7 linked regions of the Oryctolagus cuniculus genome follow. The protein of the gene in region 3 interacts with the protein of the main gene of each other region in a pairwise test. Links are inferred from orthologs where the notes say so. Each region holds a gene or a part of one and is shown on either strand. Other genes may lie near its edges.

The links.
Region 1: the proteins of TFIP11 (region 3) and RHNO1 interact in binary tests that used the Homo sapiens proteins (3 or more experiments, as listed by UniProt). The two-hybrid records come from large-scale screens. The link is inferred for Oryctolagus cuniculus from reciprocal best matches to the Homo sapiens genes TFIP11 and RHNO1.
Region 2: the proteins of TFIP11 (region 3) and SNX20 interact in binary tests that used the Homo sapiens proteins (3 or more experiments, as listed by UniProt). The two-hybrid records come from large-scale screens. The link is inferred for Oryctolagus cuniculus from reciprocal best matches to the Homo sapiens genes TFIP11 and SNX20.
Region 4: the proteins of TFIP11 (region 3) and GOLGA1 interact in binary tests that used the Homo sapiens proteins (3 or more experiments, as listed by UniProt). The two-hybrid records come from large-scale screens. The link is inferred for Oryctolagus cuniculus from reciprocal best matches to the Homo sapiens genes TFIP11 and GOLGA1.
Region 5: the proteins of TFIP11 (region 3) and SFR1 interact in binary tests that used the Homo sapiens proteins (3 or more experiments, as listed by UniProt). The two-hybrid records come from large-scale screens. The link is inferred for Oryctolagus cuniculus from reciprocal best matches to the Homo sapiens genes TFIP11 and SFR1.
Region 6: the proteins of TFIP11 (region 3) and ZC2HC1C interact in binary tests that used the Homo sapiens proteins (3 or more experiments, as listed by UniProt). The link is inferred for Oryctolagus cuniculus from reciprocal best matches to the Homo sapiens genes TFIP11 and ZC2HC1C.
Region 7: the proteins of TFIP11 (region 3) and myeloid zinc finger 1 interact in binary tests that used the Homo sapiens proteins (3 or more experiments, as listed by UniProt). The two-hybrid records come from large-scale screens. The link is inferred for Oryctolagus cuniculus from reciprocal best matches to the Homo sapiens genes TFIP11 and ZSCAN12.

Annotation. Positions count from the first base shown.
Region 1 is NC_091440.1:106,439,325-106,442,824, forward strand, and holds part of RHNO1 (RAD9, HUS1, RAD1-interacting nuclear orphan protein 1), read right to left. Parts: intron 1,011-3,500; 5' UTR 927-1,010; coding exon 759-926; intron 1-758. UniProt on the Homo sapiens protein: Involved in microhomology-mediated end-joining (MMEJ) DNA repair by promoting recruitment of polymerase theta (POLQ) to DNA damage sites during mitosis.
Region 2 is NC_091449.1:34,227,822-34,231,754, forward strand, and holds the start of SNX20 (sorting nexin-20), read right to left. Parts: upstream 2,801-3,933; 5' UTR 2,578-2,800; intron 1-2,577.
Region 3 is NC_091452.1:20,273,462-20,276,961, reverse strand, and holds part of TFIP11 (tuftelin-interacting protein 11), read left to right. Parts: intron 1-1,144; coding exon 1,145-1,272; intron 1,273-2,494; coding exon 2,495-2,647; intron 2,648-3,500. UniProt on the Homo sapiens protein: Involved in pre-mRNA splicing, specifically in spliceosome disassembly during late-stage splicing events. Intron turnover seems to proceed through reactions in two lariat-intron associated complexes termed Intron Large (IL) and Intron Small (IS).
Region 4 is NC_091432.1:228,794,056-228,798,194, reverse strand, and holds the start of GOLGA1 (golgin subfamily A member 1), read left to right. Parts: upstream 1-1,339; 5' UTR 1,340-1,476; exon of another isoform or gene 1,477-1,539; intron 1,540-1,550; exon of another isoform or gene 1,551-2,310; intron 2,311-3,218; 5' UTR 3,219-3,307; coding exon 3,308-3,442; intron 3,443-4,139. UniProt on the Homo sapiens protein: Involved in vesicular trafficking at the Golgi apparatus level. Involved in endosome-to-Golgi trafficking. Mechanistically, captures transport vesicles arriving from endosomes via the protein TBC1D23.
Region 5 is NC_091446.1:25,895,582-25,899,565, reverse strand, and holds the start of SFR1 (swi5-dependent recombination DNA repair protein 1 homolog), read left to right. Parts: upstream 1-1,184; 5' UTR 1,185-1,962; coding exon 1,963-2,050; intron 2,051-2,056; exon of another isoform or gene 2,057-2,514; coding exon of another isoform or gene 2,515-2,545; intron 2,546-2,713; coding exon 2,714-2,835; intron 2,836-3,373; coding exon 3,374-3,784; intron 3,785-3,984. UniProt on the Homo sapiens protein: Component of the SWI5-SFR1 complex, a complex required for double-strand break repair via homologous recombination. Acts as a transcriptional modulator for ESR1.
Region 6 is NC_091451.1:21,123,553-21,127,820, forward strand, and holds the start of ZC2HC1C (zinc finger C2HC domain-containing protein 1C), read left to right. Parts: upstream 1-1,468; 5' UTR 1,469-1,657; intron 1,658-2,032; exon of another isoform or gene 2,033-2,170; intron 2,171-2,265; 5' UTR 2,266-2,284; coding exon 2,285-3,604; intron 3,605-4,268. Other genes in the region: ACYP1 (acylphosphatase-1), read right to left, coding at 1,090-1,252.
Region 7 is NC_091449.1:72,640-76,568, forward strand, and holds the start of myeloid zinc finger 1, read left to right. Parts: upstream 1-1,129; 5' UTR 1,130-1,291; coding exon 1,292-1,377; intron 1,378-1,726; exon of another isoform or gene 1,727-1,893; intron 1,894-3,929. UniProt on the Homo sapiens protein: May be involved in transcriptional regulation.

The sequences.
Region 1 (3,500 bases), on a different chromosome or scaffold from region 3:
CAGCAGAGAGCTGGACTGGAAGAGGAGCAACCTGGACAGAATCCGGCGCCCCAACCGGGACTAGAACCTGGGATGCCGGCGCCACAGGTAGAGTATTAGCCAAGTGAGCCACGGCGCCGGCCTGAATTTTTAACATAAACTCTTTCAGAGGAACATGCACGATGAGGGGTGGGGGTGGGACAAAGAAACAACCATTACACCTAACCCATTCCTTAGTCTGGACTGAGACGGAAGATATAAAGCAGAGGGCTGGTGCTGTGGCATAGCAGGTGAGGGCTGGTGCTGTGGCGTGCGTAGTGGATGACCGTGCCAGCATCCAAGTGGGCACTGTTTCGATTCCCAGCTACCCTACTTCCAATCCAGCTGCCTGCTAATGCAGCTGGGAATACACAGGTGGTTGGGCCCCGGCACCCACATGGGAGACCTGGAGGAAGCTCCTGGCTCCTGGCTTCAGTTTGGCCCAGCTCTGGTGTTGTTGCAGCTGTTTGGGGAGTGAACCAGCAGATGGAAGATGTGTGTGTGTGTGTGTGTCCCTATCTCTAACTCTGCCTTTCAAAGAAATAAAATAAATCTAAAAAAAAAAAAAAAAAAAAAAAAAAAAAAAAAAAAAAGATATACCAGAAAACAGCTGATCACACAGTACATTGCCTCCTTGTTCCTATACCCATGAATCTTCTTAGTCTTTGGGGGTCCTGGTCGCAGGGGGAGAAAAGACAGAATTCTAATGGAGCAAAAGGCAAAGAACCTCACAGGCCTACCCAGGAAGTGATGGTGCTGTGGTCAATCGGCTTGCTGGGCACCTGCACGGTGTGGGTGGTGGGAGGCTGAGGAGATCCAGAGTGGTGCTTGGGTCCCTCCAGTGGTTCCTGGTGGAAGAGCAGCTGGGCTTTCTGGCACCGCTGCTGGCGTTTTTTTCTGGGAGGCATCAATAGGTGGATGAAGAGCAGTTAGCAAGCACATGATGCTGGTTGCCTTCGGGTTGGGGGACAGGCTCCAGTTCCAACCCATGCCTGCAGAGAGCAAACCAACGCTGAGAGAAAATTCAGACGACGCCCGGCTCTCTCTGATACGCTGCCAGCCAAGTGTACCATGAACTCCCTTCCCTACCTCAAGGCTTTGCCTACCCTGTACCACCAAGCAAAACCAGTTTTCCTATTCAACAGCACCTGTTCCATAAGCATGTGCTGACCATGTGTGAAGTGCCATGCTGGAAATCTAAAGACAAATAATAACCATTTGTCCAATAATCACTCACTGAGCACCAGGCACTTGTGATGCAGAGGTCCCTGTCTTCAGGAAGCTAAAAAGTTTAGCAGAGACAGACAAATACAATACAATATGACAATACAATATGCTTCCAAACACCTTAAGGGAGGCTTTCCTGATGGGAAGGCACTTCCTTGACATAGGTACGCAAAACGTAAGAGAAGCAAAAAAAAAAAAAAAAAAAAAAAAAAGCAAAAAGCGGGGAGGCACTCCAGCCTGAGGGACAGCATGCATAAAGGCAGTACTGCGAACTCAGGCAGCACAGAGCCACCAGCCACGCTGAGGAGGGAAAGATGAGGGGGAAGAACCGGGGCTGGACACGGTGTGAGGGTTAGGTTAGATAAACCAGGCGAGGCCGCAGGAGTCTGCGTTTTAGCCTGAGTAGTTACTGAAGAATTTCAGAAAAATTTCAGAAAAATAGCATTGTATTTGGTTACTTTTTAAATTTTCACCCCAGATAATTTAGAACATATACAAAAGTAGATGAATAATATAGTACCCCCCAATGTACCCTTCACCCAGCTCCAATAACCATCAGCCCATGACCAATCCTGACCCATGCACACCCCACCCATTCCCCTTACCCCTGGATTATTTAGAATGTTTTTTAAAAATATATATTTGTTGGGGGCTGGCACTGTGGTGCAGTAGGTAAAGCCGCCGCCTGCAGTGCTGGCATCCCATAAGGGCGCCGGTTCAAATTCAGCTGCTCCACTTCCGATCCAGCTCTCTGCAATGGCCTGGGAAAGCAGTGAAGATGGTCCAAGCCCGTGGGCCTCTATACCCACGTGGGAGACCTGGAAAGAGTTACAGAGAGGCCGAGGCAGAGCGAGAGGTCTTCCATTTGCTGGTTTACTTCCTAGATGGCCACAGGTAATGCTGCCTTTCAGATAAATAAATAAATAAATCTTATATGTATTTGTTGAAAGAACTACGTAGAGAGGCCAACACCATGGCACAGTAGGCTAAGCCTCCGCCTGCAGCACTGGCATCCCATGTGGGCACTGGTTCGAATCTCAGATGCCCATCTTCCAATCCACATCTCTGCGATGGCCTGAGAAAGCAGTAGAATATGGCCCAAATCTTTGGGCCCCTATACCCACATGGGAGACCTGAAAGAAACTCCAAGCTCCTGGCCTCAGAACGGCCCAGCTCTGGCTGTTGTGGCCATTTAGAGAATAAACTAGCACATTGAAGCCTTTTTCTCTGTCTCTCCCTCTCTGTCTATAACTCTACTTCTCAAATACATAAAATCTTAAGAAAAAAAAAAAGAGGTACATAAGCTACATAGAGAGGGAGACACACACACACACACACACACACACAGAGGTCTTCCATTTGCTGGTTTATTCCCCAGATGGCCACAGCCAGGGCTGGACCAGGCCAAAGTAGGAAACAGGAGCCTCCTCTGAGTCTCCCACATGTATGCAGGGGCCCAAATACTTGGGCCATCTTCTGCTTCTTTCCCAGGGGCGTTAGCAGGGAGCTGGATCAGAAGTGGTGCAGGCCAGCGCCGTGGCTCAATAGGCTAATCCTCCACCTGCGGCGCCGTCACACCGGGTTCTAGTCCCAGTCGGGGCACTGGATTCTGTCCCAGTTTCCCTTCTTCCAGGTCAGCTCTCTGCTGTGGCCCGGGAGTGCAGTGGAGGATGGCCCAAGTGCTTGGGCCCTGCACCCCATGGGAGACCAGGATAAGCACCTGGCTCCTGGCTTCGGATCAGTGCGGTGCGGTGGCCGCAGCGTGCTGGCCGCGGCAGCCATTGGAGGGTGAACCAAAGGCAAAGGAAGACCTTTCTCTCTGTCTCTCTCTCTCTCACTGTCCACTCTGTCAAAAAAAAAAAAAAAAAAAAAAGAAGTGGAGCAGCCGGGACTCGAACCAGCGCTCACATTGGATACTGGTGCTACAGGCACTACAGGCAACAGTTTAACTCACTGCGCCACAGCACCGGCCCCATCTTCTGCTGCTTTCCCTAGGTTATTAGCAAGGAGCTGAATCGGCAGTGGAGCAGCTAGGACATAAACGGGCGCCCATATGGGATGCTGGCATTGCAGGCAATGACTTTACTCACTACACCACAATGCTGGCCCCAAAGGATATATTCTCAGCCATTATATCATTCTCATTAACACAACTATATGAAGTTTAATGAAGTATATATGGGGGCTGGGGGCGGCGCTGTGGCACAGGTTAGGCCACTGCCTGCAATGCAAGCATCCCATATGGGCACTGGTTT
Region 2 (3,933 bases), on a different chromosome or scaffold from region 3:
ATCAGCAAAAGTTTCCAAATGACTCATACTAACTTCATACCCACCTAGCTTCTTCATATCCCCCATCTTCCTTAACAGGTACAAGAATCCATCAATAGCACCACATAACCGATGAGGAAACTGAAGTCTAATCTATGGTTAGGTGACTGGTAAGAGTGCCCAAGGAGCAAAGCTGAATTCGTCCTAAATGTGTGTGGTGTTGCACACTCTGTGTTCAGCACCTGCTCGCTCATTGATCTGACCACTGTCTGTGGCAGGGGCTGTTTTTATCTATGTTTTATGGTAAAGAAACTGAGCCTTAGAGTTGGGACTTGAATTCTAGTCTGTTGGGGTCCAGGCCCTGGGTCTGAACCACTAGGCTGACTGTGGCTTAGAGAGAGGTGGGGCCATTGCTGCTCTGACATCACTCCCTGCTGCATTCTTGGGTGTGGCCAGAGCCTGTCCCCAACTCTGACAGCCTGGCTGGGGAGAGGTGCAGTCAGCCAGGGCCTGGGGTCCATCCTTAGGGGACAGCTCTTGCTGTGTCAGGTGAAAGGAAGCCTGGGGATTCTCTAGCTGACCCTGTGCAGCTGGCCACGGGGTGACCCCAGGACCTTCAATCCAACCTCCCCTTTTCTAAGTCAGGCAAGCAGGCACAGAGCTGGGGCCTGGCCGGCAGATGCTGCACAAGGTTGAGTATGTCAAGGACCTCCCAGCCCTCCCCATGGAGTTGGGAGACAGCTTCCTCCCTGACCAGTCTTGGGTCCTCACCCACATGGCTTCCTGTCACCTGGCCTTTGTTTCCATGCCTGACAAGTGTGCCCACAGCCCTGTCCTGCTCACCCTCTGTGCATGGCCAGGTTTGGGGACCCTACAGCATTCTGGGAAGTGTCCAAGTGAGATAGCGAGTGTGCCACATGCACTCTTGATGTCTGGGGTTCTTGGATCCCAGTGTTTCCTGTATGTACTTTTTTTTTTTTTTTTTGACAGGCAGAGTGGACAGTGAGAGAGAGAGAGACAGAGAGAAAGGTCTTCCTTTTGCTGTTGGTTCACCCCTCAATGGCCGCTTCGGCCAGCGCGCTGCGGCCGGTGCACCGCGCTGATCCGAAGCCAGGAGCCAGGTGCTTCTCCTGGTCTCCCATGGGGTGCAGGGCCCAAGCACTTGGGCCATCCTCCACTGCACTCCCGGGCCACAGCAGAGAGCTGGACTGGAAGAGGAGCAACCGGGACAGAATCCGGTGCCCCGACTGGGACTAGAACCCGGTGTGCCGGCGCCGCAGGCGGAGGATTAGCCTATTGAGCTGCGGTGCTGGCCTCCTGTATGTACTCTTATGTACCTGCCTCAGCCAGCCCATCTGTGAAATGGGTGATCTGAGTGGCACTGGCCTCTGTGATCCGCCCTTTCAGCTCTGCTTCGTGATCAGGCAGCTGATGTCATGTCAGAAGCAGGGCACTGTGTGCCCAGAGCCTGTGGAAGGCCCCAGATATGATCCTTTGCCTGGACACTCTATGAAGACCTGGGAAAATTGATCATGAAGCCAGGGCCGAGAATAAAAACCAAATACAGCAGCCACATCCAGCTCCCCTGTGCTTTCTCTCGTGAGACGGGCTGGACGTCACCTGTGAATGGGTACCTGTGAGGGGTTGCGGGCAGCTTCCTAGCCCTCTCTTGACCTAAGTTTCCTTCTCTGAGAAATGGGAACGCACTCCTGTTGCTCTTGCCACTCATTGGGAACGGCTTGCAGGAGGCCTGTGGGCCCTTCCCTCCCTACTCTGTATGGCCGAGATGTCTGGGCTCTGCAAGCAGACACTGCAGGTGTCTGTGCTGTTGGCCTGGGGCCTGCACTTGGCCCTGGCTACAGAGCAGCTTCCCAGCTCTCCCACCCAGGTCTGTGTGAATGGAGTCCTTTTTCTCCTTGTCTCCCAGGTGCCCTGGCCATACCTCCTCTTCAAGAGACATTTCTGCCATGCCCAGTCCTTCCTCTGATGGACTCCCAGGGCTACCCCCACAGAGTCCAGGTGCCTTTTCCAAGGGGACAGCCAAGGGCTTGTCACCAGAGATGAGGCTCCAGTGAGGTGGAGTAATGTTCCCAGCCTGCTTTCTGTGTGAGAAGATTCCAGGACCTTGGCTATGCCGTAGCCTCTGGCTAGGGAAGGGTGGGTACTGCCGGATCCCTAGCTGCTCACCTGCACAGCCTTGCCAAGGGCACGGGTTCTCAAATGCGAGTGTGCATCAGAGTCACCTGGGGAGGTGGGCTGGGCCGGGGTGGGAGTGCCGGGGCTTGTTCAAAAGCAGATTTCCCATCTAACAGGTTGTAGAGGGCCCTGGCACCTGCATTTTGCACAAGTCCACAAGGGTACCACTATTTGAGAAACACAGGTGTGGCGACCCCAGGCCCAAGAGGAGTTGTACAGGTGTCTGGCCTTGGGGTGATAGAGGATTGGAAAGCTGGCCCGGGTTCTGCCTTGAGGTGCTAAGGAGAACCCCTCCCCCAGAGGCTGACTTCTCCATCCCACCCAGCCTCAAACAAGTCACAGGAAGAGGAGAGTCAGGCCACAGTGGGCAGAGACCAATCAAGTTTGGGATCCAACACTGACCTGAGGCCTGTGGGCCCTGTGTGTGTCCAGGGGTCCAGGGCGGTGTCACATGGCACTCTGAGCTCTCGGTTCCGAGTAGTCAGTTGGGTGGCTGCAGGCTTGGTTAAGTTCCCCGTTTGAAAACAGGAAATAGGCTGTGTGGCCTGCTCCTGGTCGCCCCCACTCATTGGCTGGTGACAGACAGTGCCCGGAACCCCACTGACTGACAGCCAGCTGCACGCAAGGCAGGGCAGGGCGGTGGGCAGGGCCAGCCCTGGGTTGGGGTGGCAGGGAGGGGGTGGTGTCTAGCTCAGCTTCCTTTTCCCTGTTGCCTTGCCCTTGAGTCCTGGGTGTTCCCTGGGCTCTGGGTCTGTAGCTCCCGGCACCTATTGTCCTGGTCCGTTTTCTGTTGCTGTAACAATCCCGCAGACTGGTCGTTGGTAGTGAAGGAAGTTGGCTTGGCTCCCAGTTCTGGAGGCTACAACACCGAGAGTGACGACCGGCAGAGGCCTCGGTGCTGTGTCGCCGGAGAGCAGCAGGTAAAAGCTCAAGCCAGTGCACACAAGAGGGGGCCAACTTGTCACCAGCCTAGCCCACTCTTCTCGAGGATGACCCCGCTCCCTAACAGCGACATGAACCCATTCACGCAGGCTCCGCCCTCACCACAGCTGCCTGTCGTTAGCCCCACCCTCCAACACCATCTCCCTGAGGACCAAGCTCCCAACACAGGAATTTGGGGCACACATCTAAACCATAGCGCCCCTCAACATTCATTATCCTATTCTCTGAGCTAGGTATAAGGAGGGCCCTCATGCCCCACTAACAGATGGGAAAACTGAGGTCTAGAGCCTGGAGCTGGTTGGATGCAGAGCCAGTGCCAGACACGGAAGAGCAATGGGAGGCCTCACAGCTCTATCCAGTGCCTTTTCTTGGACAGAGCTGCGTCCAGTATCACTGACAGAAGTGCCAGGGATGCTGTGGTGTGGCTCACAGCCACTGGGGCTTATGGCCTTGAGGGCAAGGAGGCTGGGACAGGACAACAAAAACAGAACCTCGCAGTCCCTCTCCCCGAGAAATGCGCATGGATCTCTTCCCAGCTGATTCTTTCTCCCCGTTAGAAGTAGTCCTGATTCTCATGGGAGTTGCTTCTTTGCTTTTCTTCATAAATTTACCACCTAAAGTACATCCCCAAACAACATAATTTCATTATACTCATTTTTTAAAAAAGATTTATTTATTTATTTGAAAGTCGGAGTTACACAGAGAGAAGAGAGGCAGAGAGAGAGAGTCTTCCATCATCCACTGATTCACTCCCCAACTGGCTGCAATGGCTGGAGCTGCACCGATCCAAAGCCAGGAGCCTGGAGCTTCCTCCAG
Region 3 (3,500 bases):
TAGCACAGGTGCGCAGCCCACCCCACTGCGACATAGTCTGTAGCACAGGTGCACAGCCCACCCCACTGTGACGCAGCCCCTGTCGCACGTTCGCATTTCCTGGGTTGCACAACCACCCTAGTAAGCAGTTGGATTCTTCCTGCAAGAACTTTTCCCCGGGCAGTGACCGAGGGTGTAATTAAGAGTGAAGCCTGTGGTTCCAATTCCAGTCTCTTTTTAGTAGTTGGCGTAAATCTGTGTTGTGTTGAGAACACGAGCATGAGTGAGGCAGGGCTGGTGACCGGGAGGAAGAGTGAGACTTCCCCAGCGCTAGGTGGGAAGCAGGGAGGGGAGCAGTTTTTGAAAAGTTGTAATCCTGTCTAAATCCTTTTATGAGAGAAACAACCTGCACGAGTATTTCTGGGGCTTCAGTGTGTTTCTGAAAAGCTCAGTGTGGGGACATCAGCTAAGAAGTGCAGCAGGGGCGGCGTCTTGTGCCGCATCTTGGGCTGCCGTTGTGGGGCAGGGGTAAGCCTCTGCTTGCAACACTGGCATCCCACGTGTCCTGGCTGCTCCACTTCCAGCCCAGCTCTCTGCCAATGTGCCTGGGAAAGCTGCAAAAGGTGACCCAAGTCCCTGGGCCCCTGCTGCCATCCACGTGCGAGACCCAGGTGGAGTTTCAGGCTCCTGGCCTTGGCCTGGCCCTGTCTTAGCCGTCGCAGCCAACTGGGGAGGAAGCCAGTGGATGGAAGATGTGTCATTCTCTGTCTTTCACATAAATAAACGCCACATCTCCATGAAGTGCACCTGTACTTCAGAGTCCGTGGGTACATGTTGTCTGAATCCCTGCACTTTGCCTGATGGAAGCTTCCAGAGGAGTGAAGCGGGGAATCGAGTGTGCCGGCGCTCTCTGTGATAAGTGATTTGTGCTTTCTCCCATCCACGGTGCAAGCCTCTGGTTGGGACATGAGTTACGTGAGGTCAGCAGGCTGTTGTGTGATCACATAAGTGCTGGACGTTTCCAATGGCCTGGGCCTGGGCAGGGCAGGGCTCTCCTTGCTGGGGACCGTGCTGCCTGTTGAGGGCAAGGCTGCTTGACATCCCCGAGTGGTTTATTCACATGAATTGCTGCCGTCTGAGCTCTCTGTCTTCTGACAATCGACAGGCATCATAAACCCCATCGAAGCCAAACAGAGGAAGGGCAAGGGAGCCGTGGGGGCCTACGGCTCGGAGCGGACCACGCAGTCCCTGCAGGACTTCCCCGTGGTGGACTCGGAAGAAGAAGCCGAGGAGGTGAGTGGAAGGCAGGCCTCGGTGTCCTGTGCCGTGGCGGGCGGCCGACTGCTCCTGCGTTCTGTCAGGCCTCGTGCTGTCCGGGCTGGGCTTCGAGCCCGTTGGATGGAGACACACAGTAAGCCAGCAGCTCCACGTGCTTAGGGATGCAGGCTGTGCTGGAGACGAGGAGGTGACAGGAGGGGCAGGGAAGGGGCGTGGCCCAAGTGTAAGGCACAGGCTGGGACGGAAGTGATCTCTGATCTCAGGAAGGAAGGAGTCCCACTGAGATGTGGCTCAGGGAGGGGTGGGGCGGGGGTTGGAGGCGTTTGGGTTTCACCCAGAGTGCAGGAGGAGCCACCTGCTGGCAGCTGTGCTGCTGACAGAAGGGGTGGGGCGGCTCTCCACAGAGAGCGGGAAGGCAGGCGCCGCAGGGGAGCGCCTCGCTCGTGTCGTCACCAGCCTCCTCGTGAGCAAGGACACGCTGGACAGTGTGGAAGTGACAGGTCTGAGTCGGGCTCTCAGGCTTCAGAGCTGACGGGCGTGCACGCCACGAGCCAGGTGCCAGGCTGTAGGGGGTGGTGGGGACTCGGGCACACAGCTGAGGACGTAACTTGTGGAAAGCCGCTGTTCGTGTTCGGCGCTAGGCACTTGTTGCCATGACAACACGAGCTTGGGATTGCCTGATCTGATTCCCCCAAAGCCAGCAGACGTCCAGATAGTGTCTGAGAAAATAAATTATGTGTGTAAACCAGTGTGAGAAAAGTGGAGGGACAGCCACACCGTCAACTTCTGAGGGCTGCGCCGTGCCATCCTCAGGCCGGCTTGCTTCCTCACTTCTCTTCAGATCTCCCTGCAGAGGGGTTTTATACACCCGAGTGTCAAGTGGATCCTCACCTTGAGACTTGTTTATCATTTTAATCAGAACCGAGGCTTGGGGTACTCCTGAAGTCCTTCCTGTTGCATTTCTGAGTTTCGCACGCGCTCAGTTTCACACCAGCAGAGCCTGCCCACAGTGATGCCCAGCGGGGTGGCCTTATCTCTGGATCTCCCAGCAGCACGGGGCTGCTGCCCCGCCTTCCGAGCCTCATTGTCTGTAAGAGGCTGGGTGGCTGCAGCGTCACAGCCTTGGTGTGGAGTTGGGGTGAACGTGAGAGGCTGCCCTGTGGTGTCAGTGGTCTTCGTCCCACAGGCTGTGGGAAGTGCTGTTTCCTGTGTGACCAGTGGTTTCCCTGGGGTTTAGGAGTTTCAGAAGGAGCTGAGCCAGTGGAGGAAAGACCCCAGCGGAAGCAAGAAGAAGCCCAAATACTCCTATAAGACGGTGGAAGAGCTGAAGGCCAAGGGCAGGGTCAGCAAGAAACTCAGTGCTCCCCAGAAGGAGATTTCGCAGGTCAAGGTACGGGGCTCCGGACATCGGGTTCAGGAACCACAGAAAGCAGTCCCACAGCCCAGAGGCCGCCCCTCACTGCCTATCCCTGAGCTTCCTGGGGGCTTCAGGGCCTCGTGCGTGGAGAGGGCAGCGCTCCTACTGTGGCCCATGACAGTGCCACGCTGCTCTCGTTACTCTAGGTTTAGTATGATCATCCAGTTACACTCCGTCAGTTGTTCCTCACGGCAAGGGGTGATGACCTTGGTCACATCCCCATCACAGCAGTGGTGACCCAGGTCACATCCTCGTCATACACAGTGGTGGTGACCTTGGTCACACTCCCATCACACACAGTGGTGGTGACCTTGGTCACACTCCCATCACACACAGTGGGGTGACCCAGGTCACGCCCCCGTCACACATAGTAGAGGTGACCCAGGTCACGCCCCCGTCACAGTGGTGGTGACCTTGGTCACGGCCCCATCACACACAGTGGTGGTGACCTTGGTCACGGCCCCCTCACACACAGTGGTGGTGACCTTGGTCACGGCCCCATCACACACAGTGGTGGTCACCCACGTCATGCCCCCATCACATACAGCGGTGGTGACCCAGGTCACGCCCCCAACACACAGTGGTGGTGACCCAGGTCATGCCCCCAACACACAGTGGTGGTCACCCACGTCATGCCCCCATCACATAAAGCGGTGGTGACCCAGGTCACACCCCCAACACACAGAGGTGGTGACCCAGGTCACGCCCCCGTCACACCCAGTGCTTCCCCAGGGTGTGCATTAGCTGGAAGCTAGAATTAGAATCAGAACCTGGACTTGAACTCAGACACTCTAGGAGATGAGGGTGTCCCAGGTAGCAGTTGAAC
Region 4 (4,139 bases), on a different chromosome or scaffold from region 3:
TCATCACACTTGACTCTTGTATGATACGTGATTTGTCATAAAAGATAGCAAGCCTTTCACTACTTCACTGAGTAAACACTGTGATTCTGCAGAGCGGATTCAGTGGGCTTTCTAGTATTTTCTTCTGTTATACGGTGCCCACCACCTTAGGGCACTAAAATACTAGCGGATGGAAAGTTAAACACTATTGTTTTGATGTTTATGAATAATAAGATTACAGAGTATTCGATTTTTGTTGTCAGTATATTAAAGCAATTTTTGCATTGATAAATGTTCTCTAGGAATGTGACTGCATACATCAGGTGTGAACTCTTGTAAATGAATTTTGTATCTTGATCCACATATATATTAAGTGTATCATCAATATAAAAATAAACATTATTTGCTTAAACTTTTTGGTACTTCAGAACTGCTGACGGTTTAAGAGGTAAGCTGTTAGGGTTTGCCTCCTTCAGCTGGCACCCCAGATGCTGCCAACTGTTTGGGGTTTGCAGATTCGAGGCTTCTTACTCTAGCTGGTATATCTCTTTAGAGCCCTGGGCTTCACACACCCCCACCCCCACCCCACCCCCGCCTTTCTCCTGGTGGTCAGACTGGAAGAATCAGGTGCACTGGCTGGCGGTGGGGCTGGGGCAGGATTCGACACCTGACCTAGGATACTGATGGGCACTGTGGCCACGCACAAGGCACTTGCACCCTTTAGACTTTCCTCACGTGTTAAAAGGAGGCGGCCCATCAGTAGTGGATACTGAGATTAATACAGCGGGCTGCCCCCAGCGGATTTTTCAAACGCCAACCAGATCCGAGTACTTTCAGAACAAGGGCAGAGTTCTGGAAGCTTCTCCCAGGTGCCGTTTACACGTGTGCTGGGTTGCGATGGAAAAGGTAGCACCTACAGTTAAGGCACAGACAACAAAAGTTGAAACGCCACTCACATCGCCAAGATCCCAGAACTAGTCTCTGCAGCCCCAGGGTTCCCGGGATCACCCAGACACAGTGACCAGGCAGCTGCGCGGCGCGCGGCGGGGCTGGCGCCAGGCGGCCATGGCCCGGGGTTTCCATCCAGCCCGCGGCACACAGCGGGTCTTCCCTTTGCCACGAGGCTCCTCCCACTTCCTCGACTCTACACCAACCCCGTTCACAAAGACAGGTGAAACGACGCATTTGTCACCCACGGGGCTGGCCGGCCGCTGACGTGGCGAGTCCGCCTGAGGGAGCGCCAGGCCCGGCGCCCGCGCCCTCCAGGCGTTCCGGCCCAACCGCCGCCCCAGAGCTCGCGCGCGCGCCGCGGAGGGCACGCGGGCGCATGCGCGCGGCGGCCCAGCCCCGCGCGCAGCCACTTCCGGCGCGCCGGGGGACGTGCGGTTCCGGGTCGCTGCTCCGGCTCCGCGGCTGGCGGTGGGGGCTGGTGACGCTGGTCGGCGCTCGCGAGAGGCCCCGGAGGCGGTGCTCTGCCGGGTGCCCACAGAGCGGCAGGTGCGCGACCCGAAGCTCCGGGGATTGGAGCCGCCCCTCGCCCCCATTCTCCCGGTGTCCTCGGTCTGTCCCCAAGCGCCCCGGACGGGGTTGCCCGAGACCCTAGGCGGGGGGCGGTACCTGGGGACTGGGAGGGCGAGGATGGGGGCGGAGGCGGGCTGCCCCGGCCTGGGGGGCTGGCGCCTCGGGTCCTGAGATTCCTCCCTGCGCGACCTTGGACACGTCCCTCCTCGCCAGTGGGCTTCAGTTTCCCTGCTTCCAGATGAGAGAGACGTCGGCTGCTAGCCCTGGCAGTGGGAGCACCGGCGGGGCTGGCGGGGGCTGAGGGAGTGGGCTCCCAACTGCCTGGCAGCGCCCTGCCCGCCATCCTGGGCGTCAGCATCTTCTTTCTTTTAAAAAAAAAATTTTTTTTTTAAACCTAACTTTGCCGTCCTTCCTCTCAGCGACTGTCTTAGGCGTCCGTGACCAGACAGCCCAGGGTCTGGCCAGGTAAACAGTGTGTGAGGGCCAGAATCAGCTGAGAGCTAAGCCGGCTCTGGAAAACCGGAACTCGCGTTGCAGTTTGGCTCAGGGCTGCCTAGAAGTGAATTTAGACACTGACTGCGTTGAGCGACTCCAGCTCTAGGGAGATTCCAGACTGTAGGAGACCAGCGTGAGCGAGGGGAGCCCGCCTGGAGTCGGGCAGTGACAGGTTTTCCCTCCCCGACTTAATTCTTCCCTTGCACTCATCTCCCACCACCGCCCCCCAAGATTCTGGCTTTGTACTTGAAACATACCCAACGTGTTTCATCTTGGTCTTCGTGAGAGCTTTGACCTGCCGGCCGTCTTAACCGGGTGAGTAAGGACATTGCAGGGAGAGCTTCCGATGAACTGTAGGGGTTTCACAGGTGATCCCAGGCGGTAAGAGTCATTTGTAGGTCTTAGAGCAGAGCTTGAACAGCGTCCACAGGCCGTGGAAAGTTAAGGCTGGACCCAGAACAGCCATGCTTCAGACCGTGTTGGAAGGAAAAGGTGCTTGGATATCATGTGAAACACTGAGAAGGAAAACTGTGATTTGAGGTCATTTTTTCAGACTCAAACCACACATTTCCAGGAACAGTTTAAGAATGATCATAGTAGAATCTTCTGGCTTGCTTGGTTTTTTTTTTTTTAAGTGATGAGCTTTCTGCAGACCACAGGGAACATAAAATGTTACATCTTTTCCTCTTACTGAGTTACATATGTTTTCTGCCTTCATCTTAAAAAAAACACACACACACACACACACGCTAGTTAAGCTTATTATTACAGGAAGGATTCAGAAGCGTTCAGTCATGCTTATATGATGTTAGTGTTTGACCTGGGAACTTTTACTAAATGTGTCATATGCCATAGCCACTATGGTCTAATTAAGAAGAACAAAAGTAGGGCCTGTGAGTCAGAGTTCGGTGCCCAGATCCCAGCCCTGCCGCTTAGCCACACAGTCTTTGATAGGTTGCTTCACCTTGAGGCTGGATTTCCTCATCTGTGTGTCCATATAGAAAGCAGCCAGGGCCTTTTAAAGGTTTAGTAATTATGTTCTGTTACCTTTACGTGTAAGTTATGAAACTTCATTTTGAAACCTAAAGCTTAAGGCAGGGGATCTTTCCAGTGTTATCTTACAGATATCGCTTCCATCTAGTTTATAGATACTATGTTGCCATAAGCCCTTGGCCCACATTTATGTGGGAAGGCAGCTAGCTGGGATGTCTGAAACTTTTTAGGCACCTGTGTCTGGACCCTGGCCACTGACCTAAGGACTACTGCAGTGAGGCAGGAACCGGCCGCGGTGCAGGGAAGCCACACAGCAGCAATGTTCGCAAAGCTGAAGAAGAAGATTGCAGAAGAGAGTGCTGGCGCTCAGAGGCCTGGAGGTGCCGCTAGGATTCCACGGTCCGTGAGCAAGGAGTCGGTCGCCTCCATGGGCGCTGACTCAGGAGACGACTTTGTGAGTATCTTCTTTAGTTTTTAATAATATTTGGTGCAGACTCAATTTTTTAAGAAAAATAATATTCCAGGGATTCCTTTTTTTTTTTTTTTAAGATTTTATTTATTTGAAAGAGTTAAAGAGCAAAGTAGAGCCAGAGAGAGAGAGAGAGAGAGAGAGGGAGGTCTTTCATCCACTGGTTCACTCCCCAAATGACCACAATGGCCAGAGCTGAGCTGATCCGAAGCCAGGAGCTTCTTCTGGGTCTCCCATGCGCGTACAGGGGTCCAAGGACTTGGGCCGTCCTCTGCTGCTTTCCCAGGCCCTAGCTGGATTGGGAGTGGAGCAGCCGGGACTCGAACCAACACCCATATAGGATGCTGGCGCTGCAGGCTGCGGCTTTAGCCCGCTGTGCCACAGCACCTGCCCCGGGATTCCTTTTTATACGTACTTTAAAATTGCATGATTATTTCATATCTTTTGTAGTTTGTAGTTGCACAAGACCCCTGCACATCTTCTTCCTACTCTGAGATGCCTTTTTGCTAATGTTTGGTTGTTATTGTTAAAATGCTCTATTGTTTTTCCTTATCTTTTATGAGTTCCTTTCCGTATTATCTACATTGCCTATATAGTATTTTTCCACCTATATACCTCATGTATCTTCCTTTACATTTATCCGTCAAAATGTTGGGGCCTGTTTTATCTGCAGACACAGATA
Region 5 (3,984 bases), on a different chromosome or scaffold from region 3:
AGGACAAATCATTCTGTTCTGTTTTGCAGTGAGACTAATTGGTGCCAGTGGATAAGTGAAGGGAGAAATAATTGCACAGACTTGAGACCTGTAGCTTGGGGGGATGAATAACTGTATCACAACAGCATGAGTTCTTGCTTTCACTTTGTACATTTATATAATTTTTAAAGATTTTTATTTATTTGAAAGAGTTAGAGAGAGAAGGAGAAGCAGAGAGAGAGAGAGGGCGAGAGCGAGTTCTTCCATCTGCTGGTTCACTCCCCAATTGCCAATTGGCTGCAATGGTCAGAGCTGCACCGGTCGGAAGCCAGGAGCCAGGAGCTCCTTCCAGGTCTCCCAAGTGGTGCAGGGGCCCAAGGACTTGGGCCATCTTCCACTGCTTTTCCAGGCCACAGCAGACAGCTGGATCTGCAGTGGAGTGTCCGGGACTCGAACCAGTGCCCATATGGGATGCCGGCATTGCAGACAGCGGCTTTACCCATACGCCACAGTACCAGCCCCTATTTATATAATTTTTGAAAAATTTAGAGGTATAACATACTATAAATTATATGTGCAAGTTTTCTACTTATGGTTTAAATCGTGTGGGATCTTACAGATCACGGCATCTTTATTTTTTAAATCTCTGTTTTGGGGGGCAGAGTTAAGTAAAGGGATGAAAGTTCACGTAACGCAGTCCTTTAAATCAGTTTGGGGATGGTTAATTAATGCATTTGCACGTATGAAAGAACAGTGAGCGCTTCTTAGTTACCTGGCACTGCTGTGGCTGCCTCTCCTGAGCTCCCATTTAATCCTCCAGTCTCTAGGAGGCAGGAATTGTCCCGATTTTCAGATCAGGAAACCGAGGCACACGGACACCACAGTAGAAAGCACACAGAATACAGCGCCGGGATGTGGAGTTCGACAATGTGACTTGGGCGGTTACGTCCGCTAATCACTGCATTAGATTGTCTTTGGGCTCTTTATTTATACTTGGCTTGCTTAGGATTCAAATTTCCTTTTGGCTATTTCCGGGCCATTTTTATCACGTCGTTGAGACGGTGTCACCGTTTACAACGGCCCTTCCGTAAGAGGACTGAGCGCACCGCCCGGACACTTCCCGGATTCCACGTGAGTCAGAAGTCGCTCAGCGCCGCGCCGGCTCGGCTGCCCCACCCGGAGCGGCGGGCGCCGTTGCCTAGCAACAGCCGCGCCACACCGGAAGCCGAGGGGGTTTTCGGCCTGCGCTCGGCCGCGGCCACTTCTGTCTGAAGCGTCGGAGTTCTGGATAGGGCATTGCGCTTCCTGTACTGCGCCACAAGTGGCGCTGGCCTTCCTCTCCCTTCATATTTGAATTTAAAAAAACTTGGAAAACCGAGTTTGTGGCAGCAGAGGGCTAGGGATCCGCTCGGCCGACTGTGTCGGCACCCCTGGGTCGATTTCTCTCAAGCCTGTTCCCCAAGGGCTGGAACCCAACGCTGCTCTTCCGTGGTCTTGAGAGTTGTGACTTGAGTTCCTAGCCAGCCGGGCGGCGTTCGGCCCCGCCACGTCTGAAAACAGTCTTTGCTGAGGTGAGCGCAGACCAGACGGGCTGGAGCCTGGAGAACGGAAGCTGGGGACACAAGCGAGCGCACTTCACAGACGCACAGAAACAAGGAAGCGGGAAGGGCCGCCGCGGACGCCAGCGCGCCCCCTCAGGATCCATGAGTTACTCCCGAAGCTCTCAGCCCGACTCCGGAGCCAGACCGGACGCCGGGCGGGGCGAGGCAGCGCGTTCCCGTCAACCTTGCCAATCACGCGACTCGGCCCCGCCCCGCCACATGACCTTCCCTGGCGGAAGCTCGCGGTCGCGCGCTCTAGGGGTCTCCGGACACGCGGATTCGCGCGCATCAATCTAGCCAATCAGGAGTCTCTTCCGCTCCCGTGCGGCCCCGCCCCTTGGAGCTGCATCGGCTGACGGCCGCGGCTCCGCGCGGTGTTTGAATGCTGTGGGGTTGGCGGAGGGCGGTAGCGTGCTTCGGCCCAGGGGGGTGTCTGAGTGCTGGGCTTCGGGGGCTTGCTGAAAAGCCAGGTAGAGGTTCCTTTCCGCAGTCGGGGGCCCTCGACCCTCCCTCAGGCCTGGGGTGTCTGGAGGGCCGGCGGGCTCCCTGCATGGGGGAAAGGGGAGTGGCCGCCTCTCTGGTTCTACCCCACCGAGTTGGAAGGGACAGCTTCAGTCGACTTCCCTCTTCAGTGTCTGTTCGCTTTTACTCTGAAAGTGCAGACAGGCGTGATTTTTTTTTTTCTTTATATTTTCTTGTTTCTTAACGCCTGGTTCTAGTCAAGCGGCTTTTAGGGTTCGGGATGATTGACAAGTTCAGGTCCGATTATGCCTTTTGAGCCCACTTAGGCCATGTCTCTTAATTATGAAGCTGTCACAACGAAAGAATCACTATCTAAAGTTGTTATTCTCCCTTGCCCCCGTAATGGAGACTTGGAAGATACTTCATGGCTAACAAGTCTCGTTTCTATGAGATACTAGTAGGTTAATTTGTCATGAAAAAACTAGTTGTCCTTGTGTGGGAAGGTAAGTGAAAAACTCCAAAAATAGCGAGAATTAACTAACAAATTAGAAGAAAAAACAAAAAACAAAAAACTGCTGGCCCAATAAAGAAATACTTGGATAAAAATGGAGGACTTTAGAAAGGTATGGTTATTTTGAGTCCCATTTCATAATTACTTTTTCTGGTTCTAGAGGTAACCCAAGATTTCATTTTCAAGATGGAAAGCCCATCAGACTCAGCGGTGATTGCACCTAGCACCCCACAGGCCTGTGCGAATCCGCCATCTTCCCTTGCAAGGAGCTCAGGAAAACAAGTACGGAGATCTTATTCAGTCTTAAGTATCGGCGGGGTTTAACTCCAAAGATTGTTCATTAACGTGCAGATATTTTGTTAAATAGTCATTTAGTTTCTTCTAAGATACAGTGTGTGACCAGCCCCTTCCAGATTTGCATACTGAGCCAATTCATTTAGTTTCGGATTAGATTATTGCAACACTCCAAAGTGAGGAAGTCTGGATCTGCGGTATTATCACGGTGAAGGACTTTGGTGGCAGTGGGTCTTTCCTCAGTCTGCTATCCTATAGCATCTGGTGTAGCAGGAGGTATGGGCTAGATGCTGAGAGAAGTTTGATTATTGGGATGACTTTAGAAGGGTGTTGACCTGGCTGAGGTAGAGAGGAAAATTAATGGAACTTCTGGAAATTAAAGACATTTTGTGATGGTTACTTTAGATATGTGGAGACAGAAAGCCCCCTAGTGGTGTCTACTATAGAAATGTAAGGCTTTTATTTCTAGCACATTTCTTTACATGAAGACTTGGTTAACATTTTTAATATTTTGTTCTCCTTTCAGCCTATGAGTGCAACACTTAGAGAAAGATTAAGGAAAACAAGATTTTCATTTAATTCCTGTTACAGTGTGGTAAAACGTCTTAAAGTTGACAATGAAGAAAATGATCAGAACTTGTCAGAGAAGCCACCCTCTGCCACAGAAGAAAACTGTTTGGAATTTCAAGAAAGTTTTAAACGCATAGACAGTGAACTTGAAGAAAGTACGCATTTGAAAAATACATTCCAGAACGTCAGTGCATGTGAAGCTACCTCACTTGATACAGGGTCATGCAGTGTTCTCCAAAATGACTTCATGAAGGAGAATCTTCCTATACAAGGACTGAAGGAAGAAAGAGCAAAATTGGTGAAGCAGGTTCAGGAAAAAGAGGACCTTCTTCGGAGGCTAAAATTAGTCAAAATGTATAGATCGAAGGTAAGAGGAATTTTTAACAATTTTTTTTAAGATTTATTTTATTTATTTGAAAGAGTTACAGAGAGGTAGAGACAGAGAGAGAAAGGTCTGCCATTGCTGGTTCACTCCCCAGATGTCCGCAACGGCCAGAGCTGCGCCAATCCGAAACCAGGAGCCAGGAGCTTCCTTGGGGTCTCCCACGTGGGTGCAGGGGTCCAAGG
Region 6 (4,268 bases), on a different chromosome or scaffold from region 3:
AAGAAGAGAAATGAATGAGGGGCGGATACCAGAGGCAGCAGATCAGGAGAAATGAGGTTTGTTTTGCAGGGGAAGGTCAGGCGTTTTTCAGAGTAGGGAGATGCACAAGTTGAAGTTATGAAGACAGAAGTGGGAACAATGACCGAGTCAGCTCCTGGAGGGTACTGAAAGGCACCAATTCAAGAAAGAGAGAGACCCTTCTTCCTGCGGAACAAAAGGAAGGAAGTCAGGAGAGAGGGAGGCGCCCTGGGAAAGTCAGCCAGGCTGGAGAGAAACTGTGGGAGTTGATTAAGGCGAGGTCAGAGGCTGACCTAACTGCGAAATGTCTGGAGCTGCGGAACTTTAACAAGTTTGTGGAAAAACGGAATTAAAAAAGATTGTTTGTTTTGGTCCAAAATATACATGCATAGTTTTTTCATAATACACCTTTCCTAGAACTTTTTGAAGGCCTCTGGTATGCACAGATCTCAGTTATTTTTTGCAGTGGAATAAACTTCTCTTTTAAATCTATTTCCCATAAACTTTTGGAAGTCCCCTTGTATACTAAGGCAGTCTAGTCCACTAGGAATGAAAACAAGGAATAAAAGACTGCCCTGGAGGGGCCCACCAAAGAGTTTCTTTGTGCCGTGTACAAGCTGTAATAGGATCTGTGGAAGCGTTAACGCTGACTACTGCTGTCTACATTATTTTCCATGTGCATGAATCCTTTGAGTAGTTACAGGGAAAAAAACGAGCTGCCTGTTCCAAACAGCTTACACAAATGAACTGAAGCACGAAGAAGACAAATAAACTGTCTTCTGATGTCAACAAGTCACAGACCATCATTCAGTGTTGAAACTAGGTTATACTGATTATTTTCAATCTGTTATGCTAACTTTATTATCATCACATTTGGCTGAGTCATTCCCAGGTCCTAAGCAGAGATGGTCCGGGTCACCACGTGACAGCAAAACATCACAATATCAAAATAATTAGGTTGGCCACGAAATCTACCCCGGAAAGATACTGCGTAGCAAAAAAAAAAAAAAAAAAAAAAAAAAGGCAAGCTCCAGTTTGGCAAGGCAAAGCACGGAAAGATAGCAGCCATACCTGGGGCCCGTACAGAGCTGCCGAGCGTGCTAACAAGGGCTATCAGCAGGCCCACTCCCGCTAACCGGGCGGACGCCGGGATCTTGCGGTGGGATGACTCCGGGGCACATGGCGGGGCTCCACCCTTTGCCAGGGACGGGCACACCCCGGGGCCTGGGAGCATGCTTCTCAGAAAAATACAAGTTCTCCTTTGATGGCGCCCCAGAAAAGCCTCTCCCACCTCCTCCCCCGTTCCCCAAGGGCAGGGCTGAACTGAGCTGCAGAGTTGGCTGGACACTGGGTCAAGTGACAACAACTCGGGCTGACCGCACCCCGCCTCCCACTCTCAACACCCTCCCCCCGCCATCCGCCCGCCCAGGAAGACGCGCGGACTGCGCCTGCGCGTGCCTCTGCGGCGGCGATCTGCGAGAGGCGGGGCTCGGCGCGCGAGGCGCTTTCGTCTCCAGGCAACGGGAATCGCCGAGGCCCGCGGAGAGCGCCTGCGCTGACGTCGGTTGGGGGCGGCCGGGTCTGGAAAGCCAGGTCCTGGGGTTTCCCCTGAGCCGCCGCGGTGCCCCCAGAGCCGGAGGTACGCAGAAGGGCGGGGAGACGTGGGGTGAACACCTCGACCTCCCGAGGGCCCGAGGAGCAGGAGAGCGAGGGCTTGTCCCCAGAAACCCCCGCCTTAGTGGGGGCGCCCGGGTTGACTGGCACCGGACGGAACTTCCGGGTTCCAGATCTGAAAGGGGCTCAGGTAGCCCCTTTCTTCGCAGGTTAGCGGCCTCCGGCGTCTGCGCCACGGTGACTCTTTGAACGGGGTTGGCTTGGTTTTGTCACCTGTAAGATGGTGGGCCTGGAGTGAACCCTTCAGTTCACAGGTGGAGAGACTGTGTTCCCCAAGCCTAACACCTCTCCCTCCATCCAGCGCTGGCTTCGCCTGCTGGCGGGCGAGTAGAGTGCAGATGGCGGGGGCTGGTACCGGGTCACTGTGTCTTTCCACCCTCGGGACCTAACAGAGCGGGTGGTCACCACTCACTGCGAATGCGCATTGGAGAGCTCTGGCACACCCAGCGCCATGTCCCTAGCGAAGCTGGAGGGAAATGTGAGTAGGGCAGATGTAGCAACAGTTTACTTTAGCAGCCGGGGGTGAGCCTCAGACAAACTCAGCACATGGATCTGGTTTGACTCTCCCCGTAGGCTTCCATCCAGGCCCTGAATGGCTGACCTCCAGTTGGCTCCATATCTGCCTGTGGGCGTTATGTTCCCACATAATAAAACAGAGGCTGCGGGGCTCCACTCCGCCCGGCGAGACCCTTATGAACAAGGTGACACCGCGCAGCCGTCCTCTGTGGGGCATCGGAGGAACAATGTCCGGGAGAGGCTTTTGAGCAGCAGAGAGCTGACGCGGGAGAACGTCTACACCCCGCCCAACCAGAACACGCGCTCCAAAGCCGGGGGCAGCTCCCCTAGCTGTGCTGATGCTGAGTCAGGCAGCGGGCCCCAGGGCCAAGGACAAGGTTGGTTCGCTGCATCGGGCCCTCCGTCCTGGCATCCCAAAGCAAATAACCCATACTTAGGTCCCTTCACAAAGAAGGGAGTTGGGGTGGATCGGGCGTACCCGCTGAAACCCATGGTCCACCGGAAGTCTCGCAGTACAGGGCAGGCTGGCCCCGCTGGGAACCAGAGTGTCTACGTGAGCGCCTCTGAGCCGAGAGAGCTTCCACACAGCAACTTCACGCCAAGGAGCACGGTGAACCCCTCTGTGGTTGGTGCCGTCCTTGCCGCCATGCAGGGCGAGAGGGCCGTGGCAAACCTCACCAGGTCTGAGTGGGTGCAGATCCAGAGACTGGAAGCCCTGGGGGAGAGCTTAGAGGAGGAAATCCGGAGAAAGGAGATCGTCCTGCGGAACAAGCTGAAGAGGACGGAGGAGGAGCTCAGGAGGATCCAGAGGGGCAAGGAGGAGGCCGAGGGGAACGCACACAGAGCGCTCCGGAGAATGGCTCTCTCCCGGGGGAGAGCGGACGGTGGTGCCAGCCACCCCGCGTGCAAGCCCGTCTTCCCCCCAGGATTTAGGTCCAAGGAGGCGCCCAGGAGTGACAGAAGAGAGGATGGAACTTGGAGGCGGTCTCGAGAAAATGCTGGTCTATGCCAGTTCTCTGATCATGGAGTCCAGGAGCTGGAAAGGGAGAGGCTGGCGGCAAACAGTAACAAAATCAAAGATGGGGTCTCGGGGCCATCCACGGAGAAGGTCTCTCAGTCTTCGGAAGCGCCGGACGGTGCTTTCCAGGGGCTCGGTACGGATTCCGGCCTGTGCAGGGCACCGGGCTCTTCGGGTTCCAGCTGTTCTGAAGAGCCGGAACTGGGCCAGTGCAGCCACTGTGGACGCACGTTTCTCCTGCTGAGGCTGGAGCGACACTCCAACGTCTGCAGCAGGGTGCAGGGCTCCAGGAGGAAGGTGTTTGACTCCTCCAGGGCCCGGGCCAAGGGCACAGAACTGGAGCAGTACTTGAACTGGAAGGGGCCAGCCTCGGTCAAGGTAACAAGGGCCGTGTGGATTTGACTTTGTGTGGAGAATGTTGTAAGGGCCTCTGGTGTCCTCACCAGCTTTCTTTAGGGAACATGGGTTATGTAAAAAAAAAAAAAAAAAAAAAGATGAAAAAGAACATTGGTTTTTATAAAGATTTGATTTCTTATTTACTTGAAGGTCAGAGTTACACAGAGAGGAGGAGAGGCAGAGAGAGAGAGAGAGGTCTTCCATCCGCTGGTTCACTCCCCAGTTGGCTGCAACGGCCGGAGCTGTGCCAATCCGAAGCTCGGAGCCAGGAGCTTCTTCCCGGTTTCCCACATGGGTGCAGGTGCCCAAGGACTTGGGCCATCTTCTACTGCTTTCCCAGGCCATAGCAGAGAGTTGGATCGGAAGTGGAGCAGCCGGGACTTGAACCAGCGCCCATATGGGATGCCAGCACTGCAGGTGGTGGCTTTACCTGCTACGCCACGGTGCCAGGCCCATGAACATTTTTTTTTTAAAGATTTATTTATTTATTCAAAAGAGTTACACAGAGAGAGAGAGAGGTCTTCCATCTGATGGTTCACTCCCCAATTGGCCCCAATGGCCGGAGCTGTGCTGATCCAAAGCCAGGAGCCAGGAGCTTCTTCCAGGTCTGCCACATGGTTGCAGGGGCCCAAGCACTTGTGCCGTC
Region 7 (3,929 bases), on a different chromosome or scaffold from region 3:
CTCTCTGTCTGTTGCTCCACCTTTCCTTTTTCTTTATTTTTTTTAAGATTTATTTGAAAGAGTTACACAGAGAAAGGAGAGGTGAGAGAGACAGAGAGAGAGGTCTTCTATCTGATGGTTCACTCCCCAAATGTCCACAATGGCTGGAGCTAGGCAGAACTGAAAAGTGCAAGGCCAGACAAAGAGCTGCTTGTTGACCTACAGGACGACACACTGGACAGAAAGCATGCGCACCCCATCAGCGTTTCACGAGTTAGCATCTAACTGCACAGCATCTGGACTCAGACCAAAACCAGCCATCTTCTTGTCTCACTGTCAAGAGTCGCTCAAGTTTTCCTGCGACTCTTTATGTCTTCTTCCCATCACTTTTCTCTGAGTCTTTTAAATCTGTCGGTCCTTTTCCCCCTTGTTACCTGTACACCTGCTGGTCCCTTGAGTCTCAGTGTCTGCACTTCCTGTCTCTGAGCATCCACTCTCCTTCTCCATCCTTTCCTGACCTCTCTCCCTCTTGCTAGCTGTTCTAGCACAGCTGTCTTCTCTCTCCCGCTCGATTCTAACTCCCTCTAGTGAGAGTTGAAATCCCTCTTTCAGACACGTCTCTGACCACCTATCCTCACATCAAGTCTCTGCCCCTGGCAGGCTCCGGAAGTCTCCCCTCTGCTCTCTCTTCTCCCTCTCTCGGCATCTCTCTGCCCTATTCCCTTCTTGTGCACACCCTCATCCCACCTCCCCCATTGCCTTTCTTTTCTTTTGTTTCCTAAGATCTATTTATTTGAAAGACAGAGGGAGACAGAGGGAGATCTTCCATCAGCAGGTTCACTCCCCCGGATGGCATGGTCACAACAGGCTGAAGCCGGAGGACCAGAACTCCATCCAGGTCTCCGGCATCACGTGGGTGCAGGTGCCCACGGACTTGGGGCATCTTCTACTGCTCTCCCAGGCCACAGCAGAGAGCAGGATCGGAAGTGGAGCAGCCGGGACTGGAACCGGCGCCCATCGGCAGGACTTTACCCACTAGCTACAGCGCCAGCCCCCACCACTGCCTTTCAAACGCCTGCCCGGCTGCCTGGCCAGGTCCAGAGCGGTCACCAGGTTACCATGGAGACCCCCCGGTCCCGCCCCGCGCAGGCGCAAGTGGGGGGCCGTACCGACGGCCTCTCCCGGAAAGCGGAGCCAAAGCGCCCGTCCCGACAGGGGTTGCCATGGAGACGCAAGCTCTCGGCGTCCCGGGGAGGGCTGTGATTGGCGCAGACTCCTGCGGTGGAGACCTGAACGAGGCGCGGTAGGGGACATGCGCGGTCTGGAAGGCGGTCCTGCGGTCCACCGCCCCTCGGGAAGTCTGCGCTCGCCGACAAGGGCCGGACGCCTGGATTCGAGGCAGGCAGCGTGGGAAGAAGCGGCCGGGAGTGCGAGCTCATAGCGACCACCGCCACCCTCAGGGGCCGGGGTGGGAGGCGGGCAGAAACGGAGGCGGCGGGCGCGGGGGGAGGGCGGGGAGACGCCGGGCTGGGGCGCGAAGCATCCTGGGAGACGTAGTCTGGCCGGGGTGGAGGCTCGGCCAGCGCGCATGCTCACGAGCGCGGAGCGGCCCGCGGGGCGCAGGAGGGCTCGGCGGTTGTGGTTGGGTCCCTACCGCCCGGCGTTGCCGGGAGCGCGGGACCGGGTCCCGTCAGTCAGCACTCGCTGCCAGGGCGGCGGGCTGTGCTGCCAGGGCGCCGCCGGCACCCGACGTGGCGTGCTGGACTCTGGGAGATGTAGTTCTGGACCTTCGCAGGGACTCGCCGGCTCGGCGGCGACCCACATTTCCCCCAGGGTTTCAGCTGGGCTGGGAGCTCGAGGAGCAGAATTCTGACTCAAGCGCTCAGGTAGCCCTCGGGGTTGATGCCACCAAAGGTACGTGGGCGGTGGCTGTGGCACCACCCTCAGTAAGCAGATTCGTGCACAATCCCCAGCTGCGGGAGCGTTGTGAGCAGGGCGGTAAGCCCCGTTTGCAGATGAGCGGACAAGATCGCAGACGTGTGGAATCAGAATCTTGGACCGTCATTGCTGGTCCTGGTCCGGCGGTCTTGGGCCATTTGTAGGCCTCTGGAAGCTGCTTCCTCACCCCCCAGCCCCACCTGAATCAGACAGTCGTAGAGATGGAGCATCGTGTGGTGTGATAAGTTGGGTTCAGGGGACGGGACCAAGTAAGGGAAGCTGGGCCACACGAGTTATTTTGCACGGTTGAGATGCGGGATGAGGCTGGGAGGGAGCAGTAGGTGGTACAGGTGCTGGGAGGGAGTGGGCAGCAGGTGGTGCAGGTGTGGGAGGGAGTGGGCAGCAGGTGGTGCAGGTGTGGGAGGGAGTGGGCAGTAGGTGGTACAGGTGCTGGGAGGGAGTGGGCAGCAGGTGGTGCAGGTGCTGGGAGGGAGTGGGCAGTAGGTGGTACAGGTGCTGGGAGGGAGTGGGCAGTAGGTGGTGCAGGTGTGGGAGGGAGTGGGCAGTAGGTGGTGCAGGTGTGGGAGGGAGTGGGCAGCAGGTGGTGCAGGTGTGGGAGGGAGTGGGCAGTAGGTGGTGCAGGTGTGGGAGGGAGTGGGCAGTAGGTGGTGCAGGTGTGGGAGGGAGTGGGCAGTAGGTGGTACAGGTGTGGGAGGGAGTGGGCAGCAAGTGGTGCAGGTGTGGGAGGGAGTGGGCAGCAGGTGGTGCAGGTGTGGGAGGGAGTGGGCAGTAGGTGGTGTAGGTGCTGGGAGGGAGTGGGCAGTAGGTGGTGCAGGTGTGGGAGGGAGTGGGCAGTAGGTGGTACAGGTGTGGGAGGGAGTGGGCAGCAGGTGGTGCAGGTGTGGGAGGGAGTGGGCAGCAGGTGGTGCAGGTGTGGGAGGGAGTGGGCAGTAGGTGGTGCAGGTGTGGGAGGGAGTGGGCAGTAGGTGGTACAGGTGTGGGAGGGAGTGGGCAGCAGGTGGTGCAGGTGCGGGAGGGAGTGGGCAGTAGGTGGTGCAGGTGCGGGAGGGAGTGGGCAGCAGGTGGTGCAGGTGTGGGAGGGAGTGGGCAGCAGGTGGTGCAGGTGTGGGAGGGAGTGGGCAGCAGGTGGTGCAGGTGTGGGAGGGAGTGGGCAGCAGGTGGTGCAGGTGTGGGAGGGAGTGGGCAGCAGGTGGTGCAGGTGTGGGAGGGAGTGGGCAGCAGGTGGTACAGGTGTGGGAGGGAGTGGGCAGCAGGTGGTACAGGTGTGGGAGGGAGTGGGCAGCAGGTGGTGCAGGTGTGGGAGGGAGTGGGCAGTAGGTGGTGCAGGTGTGGGAGGGAGTGGGCAGCAGGTGGTGCAGGTGTGGGAGGGAGTGGGCAGCAGGTGGTGCAGGTGTGGGAGGGAGTGGGCAGCAGGTGGTACAGGTATGGGAGGGAGTGGGCAGTAGGTGGTGCAGGTGTGGGAGGGAGTGGGCAGCAGGTGGTGCAGGTGTGGGAGGGAGTGGGCAGCAGTTGTACAGGTGCGGGAGGGAGTGGGCAGCAGGTGGTGCAGGTGCTGGGAGGGAGTGGGCAGTAGGTGGTGCAGGTGTGGGAGGGAGTGGGCAGTAGGTGGTGCAGGTGTGGGAGGGAGTGGGCAGCAGGTGGTGCAGGTGCTGGTCCCCAGGCAGCAGGTGGTGCAGGTGCTGGTCCCCAGGCAGCAGGTGGTGCAGGTGCTGGTCCCCAGGCAGCAGGTGGTGCAGGTGTGGGAGGGAGTGGGTAGCAGGTGGTGCAGGTGTGGGAGGGAGTGGGCAGCAGGTGGTGCAGGTGCTGGTCCCCAGGCAGCAGGTGGTGCAGGTGCTGGTCCCCAGGCAGCAGGTGGTGCAGGTGCTGGTCCCCAGGCAGCAGGTGGTGCAGGTGTGGGAGGGAGTGGGCAGCAGGTGGTGCAGGTGTGGGAGGGAGTGGGCAGTAGGTGGTGCAGGTGCGGGAGGGAGTGGGTAGCAGGTGGTGCAGGTGCG